3 linked regions of the Canis lupus familiaris genome follow. The protein of the gene in region 2 interacts with the protein of the main gene of each other region in a pairwise test. Links are inferred from orthologs where the notes say so. Each region holds a gene or a part of one and is shown on either strand. Other genes may lie near its edges. The genes, in order: SKAP1, PRAM1 and CCDC57.

Region 1 (6,911 bases), on a different chromosome or scaffold from region 2:
TTTTGTTGTTTGCCTTTAAGGGGCAGGCAGCTTAGAAGGGGATGCTAAGATCTTGCTGGAATTGGGGCTGGGGGAGGGGAAGATGAGGGAGGCAGACAGAACTGGGATTTGTGTATTCTGCTCCATCCCCCTGCCTGTGTGCAGAGACAGCTGGCTGCTTACTTCCATGACAGCCACATGGTACCCAGCCACACAGAATCGGACCTGGGCAGGGACTCGCCTGCTGCCAACCTCTCCAGATCCCTTTGATATTTCCGACAGAGCAGTAAAGGACTCTTGACTATCACGTTTTGCCTTGCCTCTCTCCACCTTCTCAAAGACTCCTCGGTGTGGTTTCCATGGCTACCCCCAATCAGATTTGGCTTCTTGCGAAATTGGATTTCAAAGAAGGACAAGGCTTCAAAGGAATTTGTCCATTTAACAGAATGTCATTAGGAGTAAGGCTGACTGCTGAACCAGGGTCCTCAGATGATTAAGGAGGGGCCGCGCTCATGTGTGGAGGCAGGTTTCTGTCTGCAATGAGGAAACTTGATGCAACATGACAATGCCGTATTGCAATCTGCCAGTCACCCACCTCATACTACCCAACTCTGCACCTCTCTCTCCCCCTGTCTGAGACCCAGAACGGTTGTAGAATACCTATGCCTCTAGTTACTGCTGCTTCTTTTGGTATAAGTAAGCTCTGCAGGCAGTGAGGCCTGAGAGGACACAAGATTACCTGAGTTCATTGCTCTTTACCAAACAACTCATTAGCTTGTGGCCTATATTAGCATTTGACAGATATCCTTGGAGAAGAGGGGGAGGTTGTCAAATTTCCTCCCACTGCTGAGAGGGAAAGCAAGACAAAGTGCTGGGGTTACATAGAGGAGGGACTTTGTTTCCCTTGCTGTTTCTTAGAAGAGCTTCAGATTCACGGAAAAATTACCATGCAGGTACAGAGAGCTCTGGTATATCCTCCCTGGCTTTTTAACACGTCATAAGTACTCAAAAAATTCTTTGAGAGCAGTTACAATTCTATAGAAGGAGCAGTTGAGTATGATAAAAATGCCCTAGCAGGGACCTGGTATTTGCTCCCGAGTCTAGAGAAGGCAGCTTGTCTATTGTTAACTTTTCCAGAGCAAGAAGGAGCAGCAGTAGGAGCCAGAGTCCCCAGAGACACCCTTCCTGCCCCAGCCCCTGTCTCTCCACCCCCAGCCCAATTTGCTACAACTTGTGGATGGATCATGTGATCCTGGAACCAAGGGACCATTCCTCTTCAGATTGCAGGATGTGGACATGTAAAGATAGTCATTACAAGCCTACATTACAAAGCCACTGCACCCCTTAAAGGATCAAGCCCCCAACCTTGGGAAACTATGCCAGGAGGCAGGCAGTGCCACTCCCTGTCCTTCTGGACAGTTTCTCCTTATGGCTTCCATCCCCAAATCCGTGGTTCCATCAACATTTTCCCCTGAGGCTGCTGTAAAAAACCACTCACCCATCTTCCCTGTGTTCTCTCTCCCTCACTGCTTTCAATCCTTCCCACATATTCTTGTTGTATGCAAGAATCTGAGACTAGAAACTCCATTTTTTATAAAGAAGGAAAATGTGAAATGTGCAAGATCACACAACTACACAGGTCACATGCCACAGCTCAAAACTTGTCAATGTCTCCCCAGTTGAGTTCAAAATCCTCATTCTGACTTTCAAGTCCCTTTACAATAAGACTTCACGTTTTCTTGACAGCCATGATTTCCCTATACCATCCAGTAAAAGGGTTATTCGCTGTTCCTCAAGCAAAAGGTTTTTCCATCTTTTTTTATTCTGTTCTTTCCACCTGAAAAGCCCTCCTGCCCCTTCCAAGCCTGGTGTGTTCAGGGCCCATCTTGAATGTCATATGCACCATTAAACACATATGCACCCACACTTCTCTCCTTTTTTAAAAAAATATATTTGTCTCCCTCCTTTTACGCTCATGGCACTTTCTGCTTTCATGGCACTTGGTTTATTGAGCTTAAAAAACTCCACAAAGGTTTTTGAGGTCACTGAGATTCACAGAAGTTAAAAGAAATGATACAGAGCGATCCTCTCTACCCCTTCCTTACTCGTTTCCACCAGTGGTAACATCTTGCAATACTACAGTTTCAGATCGCAAGCAGGATAGGGACCCATACTGTATTTTGGAGGAGGGGAGGAGAACACTTCTGTGATCTCCCGTTCTTCACTTTCCTCCCTTTGCCAGCTGTTAGAGGCAAAAGGCTGGCGTCCTCTCTCCCCCCCGCCTTCTTCGGGGTTACCCCATCCTTTCCTGGCATCCTTACAGCCTTAGGGAGGGACACTGGCTCCCTGTATCCGCTGCAGCCGCGCCGCTCCGCTCCTCCCCAGTGTTGGTGGCTTTATTATTTGAGACCTGCAGCCGTTCCTTTGAGACAGGGGTTTGCCCGAGATAGTGGACGTTCTGCCCCGTTTTCTGGGCGTGGACGTGCGAGCCGGATCGGGAACTGCTTGCCGCGGGGCTCGGCGGGGACGGCCTCCCCGCGTTCTGCGGCTCCGCGCCCCACTCCGGGCACCACCGTGGCTTTGGGACGCGTCCCTTGAGGCCCACCGGCCAGTACTTAGGGTAGAAAGTGTCCCAGGAGATGAAGTTCCTTTGGGCCGCGTTTAGTCTTTTGTTCCGGTGCGGGGAGAAGGGGTGGCTGTGCGGCTCCCCGCCCCCCAGTGCTTCCACCTGCGGGCGCCGCGGGAGTGGCGCGGGCACCCGCGCACAGGTGTTCCCCCCAACACCGCCCGGGGCGCGCCCCCCGCCCGCCGCGCGCGCCACTTCCTGAGCGCGCCCCGGGCCCGCGGCCCCGCCCTGCGGCCAGGCCGGGCTGCCGCAGCAGCGGCGACAGAGGTACAGGTGCCTCCGCCGGAGACAGCCGCCTGCCAGCCCGCGGGCTTTGGCTCCAGGCCTTCACGGCCGCTCTCCCGCCTCACACTCCGGCCTCCCCGCAGCCCGGCCAAATGCAGGCCGTCGCCCTCCCCGAGGAGATCCGTTGGCTCATGGAAGGTAACGCCCTGGCCCGGCCCCAGGCCCCCCTCCCGGCCCCCTGGGAAGTCCCGCAGGTGCAGAGCTGGAGGCCCGAGCCGAGACCCAGGGGCTCCCAAGACCGGCCTCTCTTTTCGGCTCCATCATCCACAGCCTTCCAGAACCTCAAGACTGCTGGAACCCTCAACTCTGCAGACCCAGATTTCATCCTGTCCGCTCAGGGTCCCATTCACTCCCCCTCAGTTCCACATTTTTCTTTTTCTTTTCTTTTCTTTTCTTTTCTTTTCTTTTCTTTTCTTTTCTTTTCTTTTCTTTTCTTTTCTTTTCTTTTCTTTTCTTTCTTTTTTTTCTTTTCTTTTCTTTTCTTTTCTTTCTTTCTTTCTTTCTTTCTTTCTTTCTTTCTTTCTTTCTTTCTTCTTTCCTTTCTTTTCTTTCCTTTCTTTCCTCTTTTTAAAGATTTTATTCATGAGAGACACACAGAGAGAGGTAGAGACACAGGCGGAGGGAAAGCAGGCCCCATGCAGGGAGGCTGATGTGGGACTCGATCCCAGGACTCCAGGATCATGCCTCCAGCAGAAGGCAGACGAGCCACCCCGGCGTCCCCACATTTTATTTCTTCCTCGAGGCATCTCCACCCACCCTCCACTTCACCTTCCAGGCTTCTGAACAACGTCTGGCCAGGTTCTTGGCAGGGGGGGGGGGCCTCCATGCGACCTTGCATGGTCTTTGGCCAGACCCTTTCTCCTCGGGACAGTACCCCGACGCCTGTGGGGTTTTGCCTTTCCTCCCTCCCCAGCCCCGAAGCCCCTCACCTTCTTGCTCCAGGTCCTCGAGGCTCTCGGGGGCTGTGAGGGGCTCGAGGGGCTCGTGGGATGCTGTTGGCCAAGGCCTGGGGCTAAGTGTGAGTTTTGTCGGTGCCGAAGGCCCCAGCCTCCTTTTGCCAGCCTGCAGACTTCTGCGGGTCTTGCTGTCTACCCAGGGCAGGTGGATGCAGTATTAAGTTTCTAACTCTTCTAGAAATGCCCCACACTGGTGTGTTTACCTTCAAACTATGGTGCCTAAGCAGTCCTTTTAAGAGTTAAGGCCATATTCAGCAACACTCCACAGATGCTTCTAACACTGGAAAGAGACTTTTTGCTAATGGGCAATATCTCCAGCTCCATTCACACTGCTTTCTGGCAAAAGTGATTTGCTTTCCTGTAACTGACCTTCCTGGAAGGACAGAGGCCTGGAATCTGTCCTTGCATAAGCGTCCCAGGAGGAAACGACTCTGAATTAAGCCTTTTGGCATCCAAGTGACATTTTTGACACATATTTAACAGATGGCCTGCTTTGGGCAGGTCAGACTTTTGGCAAGGAGTTTTTTTTTTTTTTTTTTTTTTTCAGTTTCTCTCAATGTAATTGGTTTTATATCTCCATTACCTTGTTATCTTGGTATAAATGCCTCCTAATCAAATATTTGGCAGTCCTTTTGGTCTCTGTTTGTAGCACTGTTTCCATTCTGGATTGCTTCTATGTAAAAGCTGTCAACGAGGTATTTCTTTTGAGGTGAAGTTTCCAAAATCCACTTTACTTATATGACCCGAGTAAATCTAAACTTTCAGAGTAGAAAAGTATTTGTAGGGTGAAGCAGCATCATCTGGGTGTCTGAGAAGAAGCAATCCAGCCTCTCTTTCTGCCATTGGTTCAATATTGTATGTTGAATGTAAAGAGAGACTCAAAGTGTGATGGTTTCTGGGAGAGAAGGAACTGTGGCAAAAAATGTAATTCTGCCCTTGTGTTTAAAAATATAAAGTGATTATTTTTATTGGTATCTGTCATTTGATGAGAGGAAACCTATTTTACCAGCTTGTTAAACTATACTTCCGTTTTGTGTGCAGCTTTAGTAGGAAATTCTTTTTTATTTTCAGAGGCTTGCAATGAAATACACTCCTTCAACATTTTTGATGTGCAGTTCTTTATTGTTCAAAACTGACACTTTGGTAAACAACTCATTTCTGTACCTGCCACCTTCCTTTAGCTTAGATTATTTTCTTGTTAGCTGACTGTTTTTAATTGAAGTCTTCAGATCTCCTTCTAAAGCAGAACCTTTGTTTGCTGACAAGTAGAGCAGGGTATGAATGGAGATTAATTGCATGTCACATACTTCTGTGTCAAACTTGCTGTGTCTTAACAATCTGTGTTGGTGCCTGGGTCTTTAGAATCTATAGAGGAGTCTGAGATTAAATTTTAAGGAGCTTCGTTGGTTAATGTATTTCTTTAAGGCCTTTTTTTTAAAGTTTGCAATTAGAATCTGAATCTGAAGGAGAGGGGGGATTCCAACCAATAATTCTATTGAAAAATGTTTGAGGACTATGTTTTTGAAAGGTTCATGTAATCATAACACATTGGTTATAGGTTTGTTTTTTTTTAATGATATATAGTCTCTGGTGTAGACCAACAGAATTATTCATTATACTACAAATAATCTGTGGATATTAGAAACCCATAATGACTTTCAATTTATTGTCTGTTGCTGTGTACTTGTCTCCCCACCACACACACTTTTTAAGGTTAACTGTTGACAATTAGAAAATATGTAGGTCCTGATCTCTATATTGTCACTCAGTGGAGAAAGTCACAGGGTGAGAGAGCTGCCACTTTAGTGCTGCCACATGGTTGTGGGGGTGGAGTTTCCACAATGAATTACTACTTTCATAAACCAAGGCATAAGCATTCGCATGGTGATTTAACGCTGGCCATCACGGCCATAACTTAAGCATTTATTTATTTATAACTACATGAACAGAAATGACAGGGGTGTTTTTTGACATAATATGTGTGCTTTTAAAAATAAAATATGCAAAGCATTATGAAAGGTTTATGCCAAAATTTTGCATAATGAAGAAAGGAACAGAAATGTTGAAGGTCTAAAATTAATTTTAAGGATAAAATTTTAAACATTTGAAAATGTTTCATTTGACCTAGAAACTCCACTTCTGGGAATCTATGTTACTGAATTTAAAGGACATGAAGTATATATGTACAAGGATCCATCTTAAATGTCCAGGAGTTGGGAAAGGCAGGGCAATGGTATGAATGAATTATCCATCTTATGGAATATTTTGCAGTCATTAAAAAGAATGTGATAGGTCTGTATGTATTGGCTTGGAAAGTGTCCATATTTTTAAGACTAATAATATATACAATCCATTTTTGTTTGAAAACAAGAAAGTGAACCAACTCCTCCCTCCCATATATTATATATATTTTTTATAAGCCTGGGAAGAAGTAAGACTATACACCTAGCTGTTAACATTGTTTCTTTGGGAGGAAAATGAGAGGATGGGAGAGGCAGACATTATTACTTTTGTTTCATACATCTTCATGTTGTTGGAACTGTGACAATGACCATGTATTATTTTTGTTAATCAGATAAACAACTAGTAGGGTTATTTAAAAGAAAAAGGTACAAAAGACAAATAGAAGCTTGGAGAGGTCATAGTGGTCTAGAGCGCTAAAGGACCATTCACCAAGGTTATGATTATGTTTTTCCCTTGTTAGCGCTGGGAGTGGAGTGTGTGGAAGTGTTTTTTTTTTGTTTTGTTTTATTTTGTTTTGTTTTTTAACATCTTCTTGGCTATTTGGCTAATATTAAAAGAGCAGGAGTACTTTAAGAGTAACTCAGGAAACAGCTTCCTCAGATTCTGTCAAGCTCTCTTATAGAAATAGTAACTAGTCCATATCAGCAAATAACTACCTTCCAGATAAGTAAAATAAAAGGTGTTTACTGCCTTATTGAAAGAGGAGGAAATATTCAGGTCTGTTTTCAAATTATCAGCCTTCAGATGTAGAAGCTATCTTTTTGTTTTTGTTTTGTGATAACCATACTGAAAACAAAAACAATGGAGTGCTGGCAGTTTGC
Region 2 (5,168 bases):
AATCACTATCTCCCCCTCAAACTGGGGAGGGATATGTTAGAGCTTTTGTTTTGTGCTGTCCCCCCAGGAACCCCAGCTTCTTTCTGAGGATGGAATATGTGGGGTCTTGGTCAATTGGGGCTGTGCCCAGATCTCCCAGGGCTCTTGTTTAGAGGATTCTGGTGTTCACACCTTGAACTTTTTCCGGAACTCCCTCTCCGCTTTCTCTGCCTTCCGGATCTGCTTCAGGGACTTCAGGTCTGTGGGTGGCAACTGCTGTGGCTGGGGAGCCTTCTCCTTCCTGAGGAATTGGGATACTCCTGAACAAGGTGTGCTTCCCAGGGGCCCCCTTCCTGTCTGCCCAGAGCTCAGTCCCTCCCTCTTCCATGCCCTTGGCGGGCTGATGACCGCCCCCCCTACCTGAGTTCTGGATCTTGTGGTGGCCTGGGGGGTTGCTGGGTAAATGGCACTTCATCTGGGAGCAGTCAGAGCGCTGAGTTAGGGCAGGGACTGTTGGCTCAGCCTCCCTCTTGACACTGGTGACTTGATCTTGAATGAGCCTTTCCTATGTCAGTTTTTAGGACATCCATTCCCTCCCAACCCCCACCCTGCCAACTGTCCGTCTTCCCCGGAGGCCTTTCTTGGGGGTTGTGAGTTCTAGTGCATTGCCTTTGTTTTCTGAACTGCTGCATGGTAGGTGTAGCAGAAACTGCTTACTGCAGGAACTCACTTAACCCTCATAGCGACCTTATTACTTAGGATAATAGGTAATACTGTCATTCCCAGCTCCCTGATGAGGGAAATAAAGGCTCTGAGTAGTAAAGCAGTCCTGCTCCAAGGTCATCTGGCTGGAAATGATAAAGGCAGGATTTATTTGCAGGCTTTTGAGGCCATTTCATGTCTGTCTTTTAGAATAGCTTGGCTTCTGGGGATTGTCCTAGGATTTAGGTAAAAAATAAGGCAAAGGCATTTCCTAGAGCAAATGAAGTGGGTGTCTGAGAAGGGGCTGATGGGGTGGGGTTCATGGACTGGCCTGGCTGCTGCTGGGACTATTGTGAGGGGTCTCCCCCCGTGAGTGCGGACTTCTGGCAACCTGCCAGCATTCCACGTAGGAGCCTGCTGGCCCTGGGGTTTGGCTTACGAGAGCCTCATGAATACCAGTTGAGTGAAGGATCTAGAACCTGAAGCCTGAAGCCTCTGGCTTTTTGCTCCAGACTCCAGCCACATCCTGGTGCTCAGATGATGATGCCATCTCCAGTTTCATCCAGGATATTCCCTCCAACTGCTCCTGCTTCTCCCAGAGGCACCCCAGGACCCCTATAACCCACCACGGGGTAGAGCATGCCCCTGTGCACTGTGGCACAGGACAGACCTGGCACACCTGCAGCCCAAATTTCTGGCAGTGTGACCCTAATCAGGCACATAGGTAAGGGAGGTTCTAAGGGTGACCTATTGAGATCTGAGAAAGAGCTACGTGTGCTGGCCCCAGCCCCTTCCAGGAGAGCTCCCAGCTGTGGAAGGAACCTCTGGGGTCGGGCTGCTACCATTCCCAAGTAGGGCAGAGTGGGAGGTTGGACTAGAAGAGTACAAAGTAGCCTTTGGGACAGCGTATTACCAGTGAGGACCCACATAGTATTTCAAGAAGGGAGAGATTTGAGAAGTGTATTTTGTTGGAGTCTTGCAGAATGACTGGCATGGAATGGGGAGATGATTTTCCACTGGCAGGGACAGTGAGCAGAAGTCGGGATGTTCTTGGTCTGTTTGGGGATTGGGGAAGAGTGGGGGGGGGCATACCTTCAAGGCTGCTGGAAGCTAACTGCCTCTTTCCCCACGTCCCTCTCCAAGACTGGCCCCCCAGACCCCAGCCACAAGAGCCTCAGTAGAGCGGAAGCAGGAGGAGCCTTGTCAGGAAGCTCTACTAAGACAGTTTTGTAAGCAGCCCCTGAGGAAAGCCCAGGAGAAGCAGAAGGGGCTTGGGAAAGAGTAGTACAGGCAGCAGACTTGGTGTTGGGGCTGAGCGGGGCGGGGGTGGGGTGGGGGGGGTGGGGGGAGGCGCGGAGCATCCCAAAGGCACCACCCTTAATAAAAGGTTGCCCTGTAGGAAGCCCTTCCAAAGATAGGGCAGGGAAGTCTTGAGAGCACAGGGCCTGGGCTCCTGTCTGCCGGCTGTGTGAACTGGGGCAAGTTGCTTCTGGGGTTCTCAGGCTTCCACCTCTGTAAAAGGGCATGCTGTTGCCTTGGGGGTGGGGGGTGGCTGTACATGTTCAGTGATGTTCACATACAGGGCTTGCATGAAAGTCACTCCCCCCCCCCCCCCCCCCAAAAAAAAATGGTGAAAGCATTAACCTATAGCAGGGCTGGAGACGGGTCTGCTTTGCCATTATCCTGCTCTCTGGGAGCAGAGACTTGGAAGAAGGGAGAAAGAAAGGTCCTCAGGAACCTGAGCACAGAGTGTCTAGGACTGCAGGCTCAGGGTCTCCGTCTACAGCCCATGCCTCAGTTGAGGCCCAAGTCCTGCCTGGACATCCAGCAAGCGCCTCCAGTGCAACAAGTCTACTATGGAACCTGACACCTTGTCCCCGACTCAGGGATACCTCCTCTCTGCACCCAAGTGTCAAGCTTGACTTGGGCCTCATCCGTGTCATGGGCTCACTTGCTCCCTCTCGCCCCTGCATCACATGCCACCAAATCCTCTTTCTGATTCTTCCACTGCTCTGTAATGCCGCCTGCCACCACCCTGGGCCACACCCCTGCCGTGGCCACAGTACGTTCACTGGTGTTGGCCTCTGGGCTGCCCTACCTCTACTGTTGTGTCAGGAGCTGGCATGGCCTTTCTAAAAGGCCCTTCCTGCCCTCCACTTTCTCCCCTGGCACTGCCAGGGAGACGGACTGTCCCTCAGATTTGCCGCAACAGCATGGAAGAATGTGCCCTTGCAATGAATGGTCCCCGGGTGCCTGGGCAGGATGCTCTGGCTGAGGGCTCAGCCCCACCACCAACAAACCTCTGCCCATGGGACTGGGGCTGGAGTTGTCCGTGGGCTCCACGTCGTCATACAGCTCATAGGCCTCGTCCGGGTCCCTGTAGGAACCTGAGATGAGGGCCTCTTTCAGCCTTAAACCTGCGCCAGGACCCACTAACTCCCCACACTCACTGCAGGATGTCTTGAGTCTGTCGGGCTTGGAGGTGGATCCCAGCAGAAGAACGGGTCCTCCTCAGAGCTGTGGAAGGAGGAGAGCGGGAGGGAGGCAGGCCCTGCCTTTACCTTCCCAGCTTTTTGCGGAGGCTGCTGTGACCTACCTGTGGCTGCGGCTGCGGCTCTTCGGAAGCTCTGGACATCCCTGGGGCCAGGGGGCAGTGGGGGCTTGGCTGGGGGGGGGCCTAGGCTGTTTACTGGGGGCAGAGGCCTCCGCCGGGGTGGGTGGCCAGGCTGGAGGCCCAGCCTCGAGCCTCCACTGTGAGAGCGAGCTCCTGATCTCTGCTCCCTGGCTCCAAAGCCAGGGCTGAATGGGAGCCTGGGGCGGGAGCCCGCCACAGCAGCGGGGAGTGAGCTCTCTGAGACGGAGCCAGGGAGTGGGGGCTTTTTAGGGAGATCACCAAAGAACTCCGTGTGCAGGTGCTTCTTGGGCAGAGCACTGGGCTCGGGCTGTGAGAACTTTCGAGGGGGCTGCTGGCATTCAGGCTGCAGGAACTTCCTGGGGAGGAGGCCAAACTCGGGCTCTGAGGACACCCTGGTGAGGGCCCCCAGCTCAGGCTGCAGGAGCTTCTTGGAGGGTGCTTTGAATTCAGACTGCCGTGGCCGCTTGGGAAACACACTGACTTCAGGCTCTGAGGACCTCCTGGTGAGGTCACCAAAATCAGGGTGCAGGAGCTTCTTGGGGAGATCACTCAGCTGAGGGGCTGGGATCTTTCTGGGAAACGTACTGAAGTCGGGCTCTGAGCAGTGGGGCGGGTGCTCATTGGACTCTAACTTCCAGGGGGGCGTCTGAGGGACCTCATTGAATTCAGGCTGTGGCAGGGATTTCTTAGGGAGGCCACTGACCTCAGACTGCAGGGCCTTTCTAGGGTTCACGCTGAGGTCGGGCTGAGGGGGCTTCTTGGGAAGGGTATTAAAGTCGGGCTGTGAAGGCTCTGGGGTGGTCCCATTGGGCTCCAGCTGCTGGAGCTTCTTAGGGAAGGCACTGGGCTTGGGCTCCAGTGGGGGCCTGCTAGGCTCAGGCCGTGGGGGTTTCTGAGGGGTCTCGAACTGTGGGAACTTTTTGGAGGGCTCACTCAACTCAGGTTTGGAGGGCTTTCTGGGGAGATCGGTGCAAGGGGGCTGTGGGGGCTTCTTGGGTACTGTGTGGAACTCTGGCTGTGGGGGCTTCTTGGGGTGCTCGCTTAGCTCGGGTGGTGGAAACTTCTTTAGGAGTTTGTTGAACTCAGGCTTTGGGGGTTTTTTGGGGAGTTCGCTGGTCTCGAGCTGAGAGGCCTGGAACTTTGCTTGAAGGCTCCGGAAGTCCTGATGGCTCCCCTAAGGGACATAGAGCCAGTCAGGCAGGGTTCTCCTAGCTCCTCGTTGCCAGCCTTTGCCCTTGGCTGAGGACCCTCACATTTGTTTCCAGGCTCCCTGGAGTCCTGACCTCACCACTTAGGCACTGCATATGCCCCAGCCTCACCCCCATTAGGACCCGGGCTCCTGCTGCTCCCCCATAGGCTGCTGCTCCCACAGCCTCCCTCTCAGTGTCCTTGAGATAACCGTGTGCTTTCATGCTCCGTATCCCTAGTGCCTTCTCTTCTGATTTCAAAATACATCTGGAATCCAACCACTTCTCACTGCCTGTACCACTGTCATGCTGGCTGGAGGAACTCAGGCTCCTCCCCCATGTTGTCGTCCCCCCCACCCCCCATCCCCATCTCTGTCCAGGCCCCTCCCACACAGCAGCCAGAGGAAGCCCCTCTGCTCAAAATCTGGCAACGTTCCTTCATTTCCCCATGGTAAAAGCTAAAGACCTCATGAAGGCCCTAGATCACCGAACCGCCTCCTGTACCCAGTCACCTTGGGCTGGTCTCCTCTCCCCCACTCTCTCCCACCCCAGCTCTTCTTTCTCCTGCCCCTAGTCCCAGGCAGTTCTCCCTATGGCCTGCTTCTTGCCTCTTGCGCCTCCAGTTCTCTGCTGGTATTTTCTTTTTAGGGAGGCCTCCCTCCCAG
Region 3 (7,022 bases), on a different chromosome or scaffold from region 2:
TCCTCTGCCCACAGACATGTCCTGGGTCACTGGGCATGGGGCACGGATAAGGAGCCCCAGGGACACAAGAGCGCAGACCTCAGAGGGGCCGTGGGGACTGGCCATGTGTGGGGAGGGCCCTGGCAGGGTGGCGAAGGCCCAGGCTCTTGGCAGGGCCCACTACGGCCCCTGCCATTTTGTTGGCTGTGTGCCACGCAAGGGGAGGCAAGTGCTGCACCTCTCTGGGCCTGACAGCCTCGAAGCCTTCCCTGGGATCCTGGTGAGCAGGTCACAAGTTGTGGGGTGGGTGGGGCGAGGAAGGCACATGTCCCACCCCAGGGCAGTAGGAGCTGGCCTTGCCCCGAGAAGCAAGGCCATGCTGTCCCTGTGGTTAGCATTGGCGCCATCAGCAGTGCTGGCTGGGGGGCTGAGGATGGCGAGGAATGGAGCTCTGGCTGTTAGGATTTGCTCCCGTTGAAACAGGCGGGTCCCCTAGGCCCCTCCCGGGGGCTGAGCCAGGACCTGACCCTCCAAGCACCAGGGAAGGGAGCATGTCCTCCCACCGTATGCAGAAGCAAACCAAGTGCTGGAGAGATATCGGACAGGAGGGGGCCAGGATCGAAGCCTGGCTCTGTGACAGCAGGTTGCCCTGGTCCGGAGGCCACTCCGGGATGCAGGTTAAAGGCTATGGGGACCCCGGGCTGCACCTCCAGGCCAGCCCGCTACGATCACTTGGTTTCTGTGCAGGATGTGAGATCTTCCATTTTTCATGAGGCTTGAATTATTGATCTGCTTCATATTTAATAACTCCTGGACCTCCCTCCAGGAGCAGAGCCTGGATTAGGGCGTGGGTCCAGCCCTGGCAGGACCCGCTTGGGGACCGGCCCCGGGGAGCCAGCGAGCCCCTGGGGTGGAGGAAACACAGGAGGGGTGACGCAGGCCACAGGTGAGTGTCCCACCAGGCTCTGCCAGGTGGGGGCTGGGCATGCGTTCTGTCCCCGCTTACTGCCAGGCCAGCGAGGAGGCCCTCAGGGGCTCCCCAGAGCTGTCCCGGAAGGAGCAGCAGGGCCTGGCCCGCCTCTGGGAGGCAGGCTGCCTACAAGGGCGATTTGGCTTTGTTTTCCACTTATGTTTGAGCACAAAGGCAAAAGCGCACAAGTTAGGAGAGCGAACTGATGGATTCTCCGCACCACACGCAACACACGGTGCGACCTCCGCAGGACGAGAGGCTGCTGGAGCCACCCGCCCCCCCCAAGGCCCATGCACGGTGCTGGGGGGGCACGGACCCCGCCCCACTGCCGCCCCCGATCGACCCTCCCCCCCCGTCCCCCGCAGCCCCGGCCCCGCCTATGGACACCTCCCCCACCGTGCAGCCCCGGGTACCCCGCTCCCCTTCCCCGGTGCAGCCCGGCCCCACCCCCGCGTACCCAGCCCCCCATGTTGCCCCGCCCCCTGGACCCGCCCCCGTGCAGCCCCAGCCCCCACCCCGTGCAGCCCCGCCCCCTGTGCAGCTCCGCCCCCCCACGGCCCCGCGCCCAGTGCAGCCCTAACCGCCCCCGTGTAGCCCTGTCCCTACCCCGTGCAGCCCCGCCCCCGCCCCGCCCCCCGTGCGGCCCCAGCCCCCACCCCGTGCAGCCCCGCCCCCTGTGCAGCTCCGCCCCCCCACGGCCCCGCGCCCAGTGCAGCCCTAACCGCCCCCGTGTAGCCCTGTCCCTACCCCGTGCAGCCCCGCCCCCGCCCCGCCCCCCGTGCGGCCCCAGCCCCTACCCCGTGCAGCCCCGCCCCCGCCCTGCCCCCCCGTGCGGCCCCAGCCCCTACCCCGTGCAGCCCCGCTCCCCCGGCCCCGCTCCCCGTGCAGCCCCAGCCCCTACCCCGTGCAGCCCCGCCCCCGCCCTGCCCCCCGTGCGGCCCCAGCCCCTACCCCGTGCAGCCCCGCCCCCCCGGCCCCGCTCCCCGTGCAGCCCCAGCCCCCACCCCGTGCAGCCCCGCGCCCAGTGCAGCCCTAACCGCCCCCGTGCAGCCCTGCCCCTACCCCGTCCGGCCCCGCCCCCGCCCCGCCCCCCGTGCGGCCCCAGCCCCTACCCCGTGCAGCCCCGCCCCCACGGCCCCGCTCCCCGTGCGGCCCCGCCCCCCGTGCGGCCCCGGCCCCCGTAGCCCCCGCCGTCCCTCCAGTTCCGGGGACCCTCTCCCGGCGTCAGGTGGGCGGGAGTGGGCCCTCCGCCCCTTGGCGCCTGCGCGGGGCGGGTGAGAGGAGGCCGGAACCCGGCGCCGGAGCTCGCGTTTCCGGGCGGTGGGACCCGAGCGCCGCACCGAGCGCGCCGGAGCCGCGAGGGCGGACTTGGTCACCATGGCGACGCGGCGGGACGGAGGCCGGTCCCCACGGGCGTGCGCGGTGAGCCTGGGGCGCGGGGCGGGGCCGCTCCCGGGCCCAGTGACGGGGTCGTCGCCTTCCCGGGGCGGGGCGTGGCTGCGGGCCCCCCTCCCGCGAGCACCCTGCTGGCGCCCGCGGCGGCCTGCCCCACCCCGCGCGGAGGGTCGGAAGCCGGGAGGTCGGTCCGGCGGCCCGCCCAGTCGTGGAGAGATCCCCCGCGGCGCGGCGGGGTCAGGCGGGGCGGGGGGCAGCGGGGTCAGGCGGGGTCAGGCGGGGGCGGGGCGACTTGGGGTGGGACCCCGCGCTCCCGGGCCCAGGGCGCCGCCTGCCCCGCCGCTGCTCACGCACGTACTTTCCGTGTGTCCCCATTCTAAAGTTGCCATTTTTCGTTAATGATACTTCCAGGCCACGGAAATTGTTTCTTTATCTTTTTTTAAAAAAGATTTTATTTATTTATTCGTTAGCAACCGAGAGAGAGAGAGAGAGAGACCCCCAGACCGAGGGAGAAGCAGGCTCCTTGCGGGGAGCCCCACGCGGGACTCGATCCCGGGTCCCCGGGGTCATATCCTGGGCCGAGGGCGACGCCCAGCCGCTGGGCCCCCGGGCGCCCTATATATCTTGTTTCTAACCACACTTTCTATCACAAGTGTTTTCTGAAACAATTATTAATATTTTTTTTACCAATTAAGGATTTTTCTGTTTCCATTATTCTTTCCAACTAATGGAATTCTGTAAGAAAGAACCTCCCGCCCCACCCCCGTTTCTTTTAAGTAGGCTTCACACCCAACATAGGACTCGAACTCAGGACCCAGAGATCCAGAGTCACACAGGGACTCTACCGACTGAGCAAGCCGGGTGCCCCCAGCACCTTACCTTCCTCCCTTCCCCCCTCATCTCGTGTTGGTATACACGTTTTTATTTTGTTTTTATTCCACACCTGTATAATACATTGCTATAATGTATTTTGTTGCTAATTCTCCAGGTTTGGGCATTAGGAGCCCCTTCAAGTCAGCGTGTCCCCCAGCATTTCTCGGCACCGCCAGATGTTCCCCGCCCGTCCTGTGCTTTCTGGAGCAACTTCAGAATTGCCAATCCGTATTTCTATGAAAAATAGACTACTAGCTAGAGTGTAATATTTGCATACAGTTGTTTTGCTTTTATTCTTGGAATTTACAGTCAAGATTTTTTATAAGATTATTTTAGTGCATTTATGTAGGTTTTGTTGCATTATGTCAATCACTTGTTCCTGTTTGTTTTTTTTTAATTTTTTTATTTTATTTTAATATTTTATTTATTTATTCACGAGAGACACACAGAGAGAGGCAGAGACAGGCAGAGGGAGAAGCAGGCTCCATGCAGGGAGCCCGACGTGGGACTGGATCCCAGGTCTCCAGGTTCAGGTCCTGGGCCAAAGGCAGCGCCAAACCGCTGAGCCACGCAGGTTGCCCACTTGTTCCTCTTTGTATTTCGTTATGAGTCCTTACTGATTTTAAGTTTCAATGTGTGAACCATGTTCTAAAAGTCAGCAGCTCATGGGGCGCCCAGCTGGCTCAGTTGGAAGAGTGCAGCCCTTGATCCCAGGGTCATGAGTTCGAGGCCCATGTTGGGTGTAGCGATTACTTAAATAAGTAAATAAAAAGTCAGCAGCTCTCAACTGTAAGGTGATTCAGCTTCCCTTCTGCTTTTGTTCTCATTTACTCAATTTTTATTTGTTTGGTTTTTGTTATTTTTGGCAAAGGAATTTGGCAGGTGTAAATTGTAATGAAAAAGCACTGCATATCCCTCACTTTAGCGGTATCCCTTAACCCCAGCCAGTACCAGTGGTGGAATTAAGACCTGAGATTTTTTTTTTTAAGATTTTATTTATTTATTCATGATAGTCACACAGAGAGAGAGAGAGGCAGAGGAGAAGCAGGCTCCATGCACCGGGAGCCCGATGTGGGATTCGATCCCGGGTCTCCAGGATCGCGCCCTGGGCCAAAGGCAGGCGCCAAACCGCTGCGCCACCCAGGGATCCCCCTATCTGAGATTTACTTGAGATTTTACACATGGTTGTGGGTACTGTTTGGCACTCAGTGAAGTGTGAGGAAGACGGCTTGTGGTCACAGGCCCCTGATTTTCATCCCCTAGACACTACGCTGGAAGAGTACGCGTACCAGGGTTAGCTGGACGGCCCTTGTTGGGATTCCAGGGGGCGCCAGTGTTGAGTCCCGTCCTGAGTGCAGTAACAGATGAGCCCCCTCCAGACTTTCCTTCAAGTCCCACAAAAGCGTTTTGTAAATTAAGGTCACTAATTTATAGTAATTAAGCTCACGTGTTTATAGAGCAGCGAGATAGCTTTCCTTAATGAAGTAGATTTGGGTTCTCGTGCGTTAGGAACGGGGGGCTTATTAGCCGCTGAGTCCAAAGCCCAGAGCATCTGGAACCGCAGCCTTGAGGGAAAGGAGGTAAAAAGAAACCTCTGCTCAGCCAGTGTGTCCGAGTGGCTTGTTCGTCAGCGTCTGGTGACCGGCTTTTAGCCCTTTGCAAACATTCCCTTGTGTACATTGTGCACTCGGTAACTGCTTATGTTTTAATGAGGTCATGCAATGCTTTTCCAATTAAGTACTTACGAGATATTTATTGTAAAACAAATTGTTCCAAATTTTTGGTCAGGCGCATGGAGTGTGATGAACTCTCGTGTCCTATCTGCGGATTGGGTAACCCGGGTTCGTCTCTGACGTGTTTTACTCTGATGTTCGGGTCGTCTGGGGAGTGGTAGGATTTGTCAGTGGGACGAAGCATCCTGCCATAGTCCTTCCTGTCCCTCCAGCATCTTGTCCCTGGAGGCCTGCAGGAGGGGTGAGGCACCCCCAGGGCGAGGCCAGCCCCCTGCAGAGCTCCCGTGCTTGCAGAGCTCTGCACCTCCCTTTGGAGGTGGGAGGTGGGCTCACCTTTGTCTCCAGCCCTTTCCTCTTTTTTTTTTTTTTTAATTTTATTTATTTATTCATGATGGAGAGAGAGAGGCAGAGACACAAGCAGAGGGAGAAGCAGGCTCCAGGCAGGGAGCTGGGCACGGGACTCGATTCCAGGACTCCAAGATTGCGCCCCGGGGCCAAAGGCAGGTGCTAAACCGCTGAGCCACCGGGGGATCCCCTCCAGCCCTTTCCTCTTAACCGTGGTGCCAGCTGTCAGAAACACTTGGCGTGGACCCCACTTGGGGCTCTGGCAGTCTTTGGCTCTGTCCTAATTTGTGAGGACGTGTCTGAGTGTGTCACTAACCGGAGGTGCCAACTTCAGAGCCTCGGTCTCTCGTGCCCTGCCTGAGGAGTGCCAAGCCCCGAGCGTTGCCCCCCTGCCTCCCATAAGGCTGCCCCCGTGGTTGGGGTCACCCACACAGGCCCCTGGCCGGGTCGGCGAGTGAGTCCCCAGCTGCCTTAGCTCGGGGACGCAGTCGTATGTCTTACTGACGGAGGTTGCCTTCCAGATGGGGCCTCTGCGGCCTCCTCTGTCCGGGGCTGGGAGGCCATGGCCTTCGTGAGCAGTTATTTCCATCTTCCTAACACCTGGGAATTTCTAGGTGCTTTTCAGGCCTCGCAGGTCTGAAATAAGGGTTAGAAAGCTCAGTGTTTCACAAATGAGAAAGTCAGAGTGCTGCATGACGCAGCCTGGCCCTGCCCCATGCCCTGCTGGCCCCACGGGCTCTCTAGAACACCGTGAGCAGTGAGCAAAGCCGTGGTAACTGCGTGGCTCCCCCCTCTATGGGGCTCTCTGTAGTTTCCCCAGAAGTTTCATGTGGTGCCTCCTGAAACCTGGGTGCTGGCCGGGGACATCTGCTGGCTGACGGACAGGTTGGGTCCAGACTCTGAACCTATGACGTTTAAAGCTGATTAATGTCAGCCTCAGGGCTTTTAGGGTCATCTTTGGTGAGATTTAAACGCAGCAGGGCGCAGCTGTTGTGTGATGAGGGAGGGGTACAGAGCGCTGGGCGGGCGCCTTCATAGGGCCGGAGCCTGGGGGTGCCGAGGGCAGTAGGATCTGCTGTGCACGGTCCAAGCTGCTTGCTCTCTGGGGGGCGGGGGTGTCCTAGGACTCCTCGGGTGCCGTTCCAAGCAGGTTGAACTTTACCTTGAGAAGCCCAGAGCCACAGGCATGGTATCACGTGATCAGCTGTGTGTGTCACAGGAGTGAGCCCTGGGGGTAGCTGTGTGACCTGGTGGCAGGGCCTGGCACAGGACAGGGTGCTAACGAGCAGTCCCCAGAGGAGGGGAGGCCCGCTGACCTCCAGCCCTTGTGAAGGACGGTGGTGATGACTCACAGGCGCTTCAGGAGCCCGTGAGTCACCAGCGGTGGCCGTGGCGCGGGCGTTGTTCAGTGACATGTGTTTGCTTAAATCCTGATTCTTTCCCTGGGAGTGGGTGCAGGCATGTGGGTGGCCAGGGTGCCTGTCGGTTTCTGTTGATGAGACTGTGGCTGACCCCGGAGCTCCTAGACCACAGCCAGCACCCGGCCCATGCTCTCCCCTGCTAGTGGGTATGGGGGTGCTGGCCAGTAGATGTACAGTTGGTGTGGGGAACCCCCAATGCGGAGGTCGGCAGTGCCACACCAGCGCTTTCAGTGGGCTGCGTGGCCGACGTGGCTAGCGTGGCCACCATAACCCTGGGTTCCCAGGGGTCCTGGGAGCCCTGCAGCC

Evidence for each region.
Region 1: the proteins of PRAM1 (region 2) and SKAP1 interact in binary tests that used the Homo sapiens proteins (3 or more experiments, as listed by UniProt). The two-hybrid records come from large-scale screens. The link is inferred for Canis lupus familiaris from reciprocal best matches to the Homo sapiens genes PRAM1 and SKAP1.
Region 3: the proteins of PRAM1 (region 2) and CCDC57 interact in binary tests that used the Homo sapiens proteins (3 or more experiments, as listed by UniProt). The two-hybrid records come from large-scale screens. The link is inferred for Canis lupus familiaris from reciprocal best matches to the Homo sapiens genes PRAM1 and CCDC57.

The regions. Positions count from the first base shown.
Region 1 is NC_049230.1:24,647,966-24,654,876, reverse strand, and holds the start of SKAP1 (src kinase-associated phosphoprotein 1), read left to right. Parts: upstream 1-2,819; 5' UTR 2,820-2,982; coding exon 2,983-3,028; intron 3,029-6,911. UniProt on the Homo sapiens protein: Positively regulates T-cell receptor signaling by enhancing the MAP kinase pathway. Required for optimal conjugation between T-cells and antigen-presenting cells by promoting the clustering of integrin ITGAL on the surface of T-cells.
Region 2 is NC_049241.1:53,443,531-53,448,698, forward strand, and holds part of PRAM1 (PML-RARA-regulated adapter molecule 1), read right to left. Parts: intron 4,491-5,168; coding exon 3,278-4,490; intron 3,199-3,277; coding exon 3,132-3,198; intron 3,059-3,131; coding exon 2,982-3,058; intron 455-2,981; coding exon 400-454; intron 281-399; coding exon 172-280; intron 22-171; coding exon 1-21. UniProt on the Homo sapiens protein: May be involved in myeloid differentiation. May be involved in integrin signaling in neutrophils. Binds to PtdIns(4)P.
Region 3 is NC_049230.1:949,697-956,718, forward strand, and holds the start of CCDC57 (coiled-coil domain-containing protein 57), read left to right. Parts: upstream 1-2,234; 5' UTR 2,235-2,371; intron 2,372-5,348; exon of another isoform or gene 5,349-6,180; intron 6,181-7,022. UniProt on the Homo sapiens protein: Pleiotropic regulator of centriole duplication, mitosis, and ciliogenesis. Critical interface between centrosome and microtubule-mediated cellular processes. Centriole duplication protein required for recruitment of CEP63, CEP152, and PLK4 to the centrosome.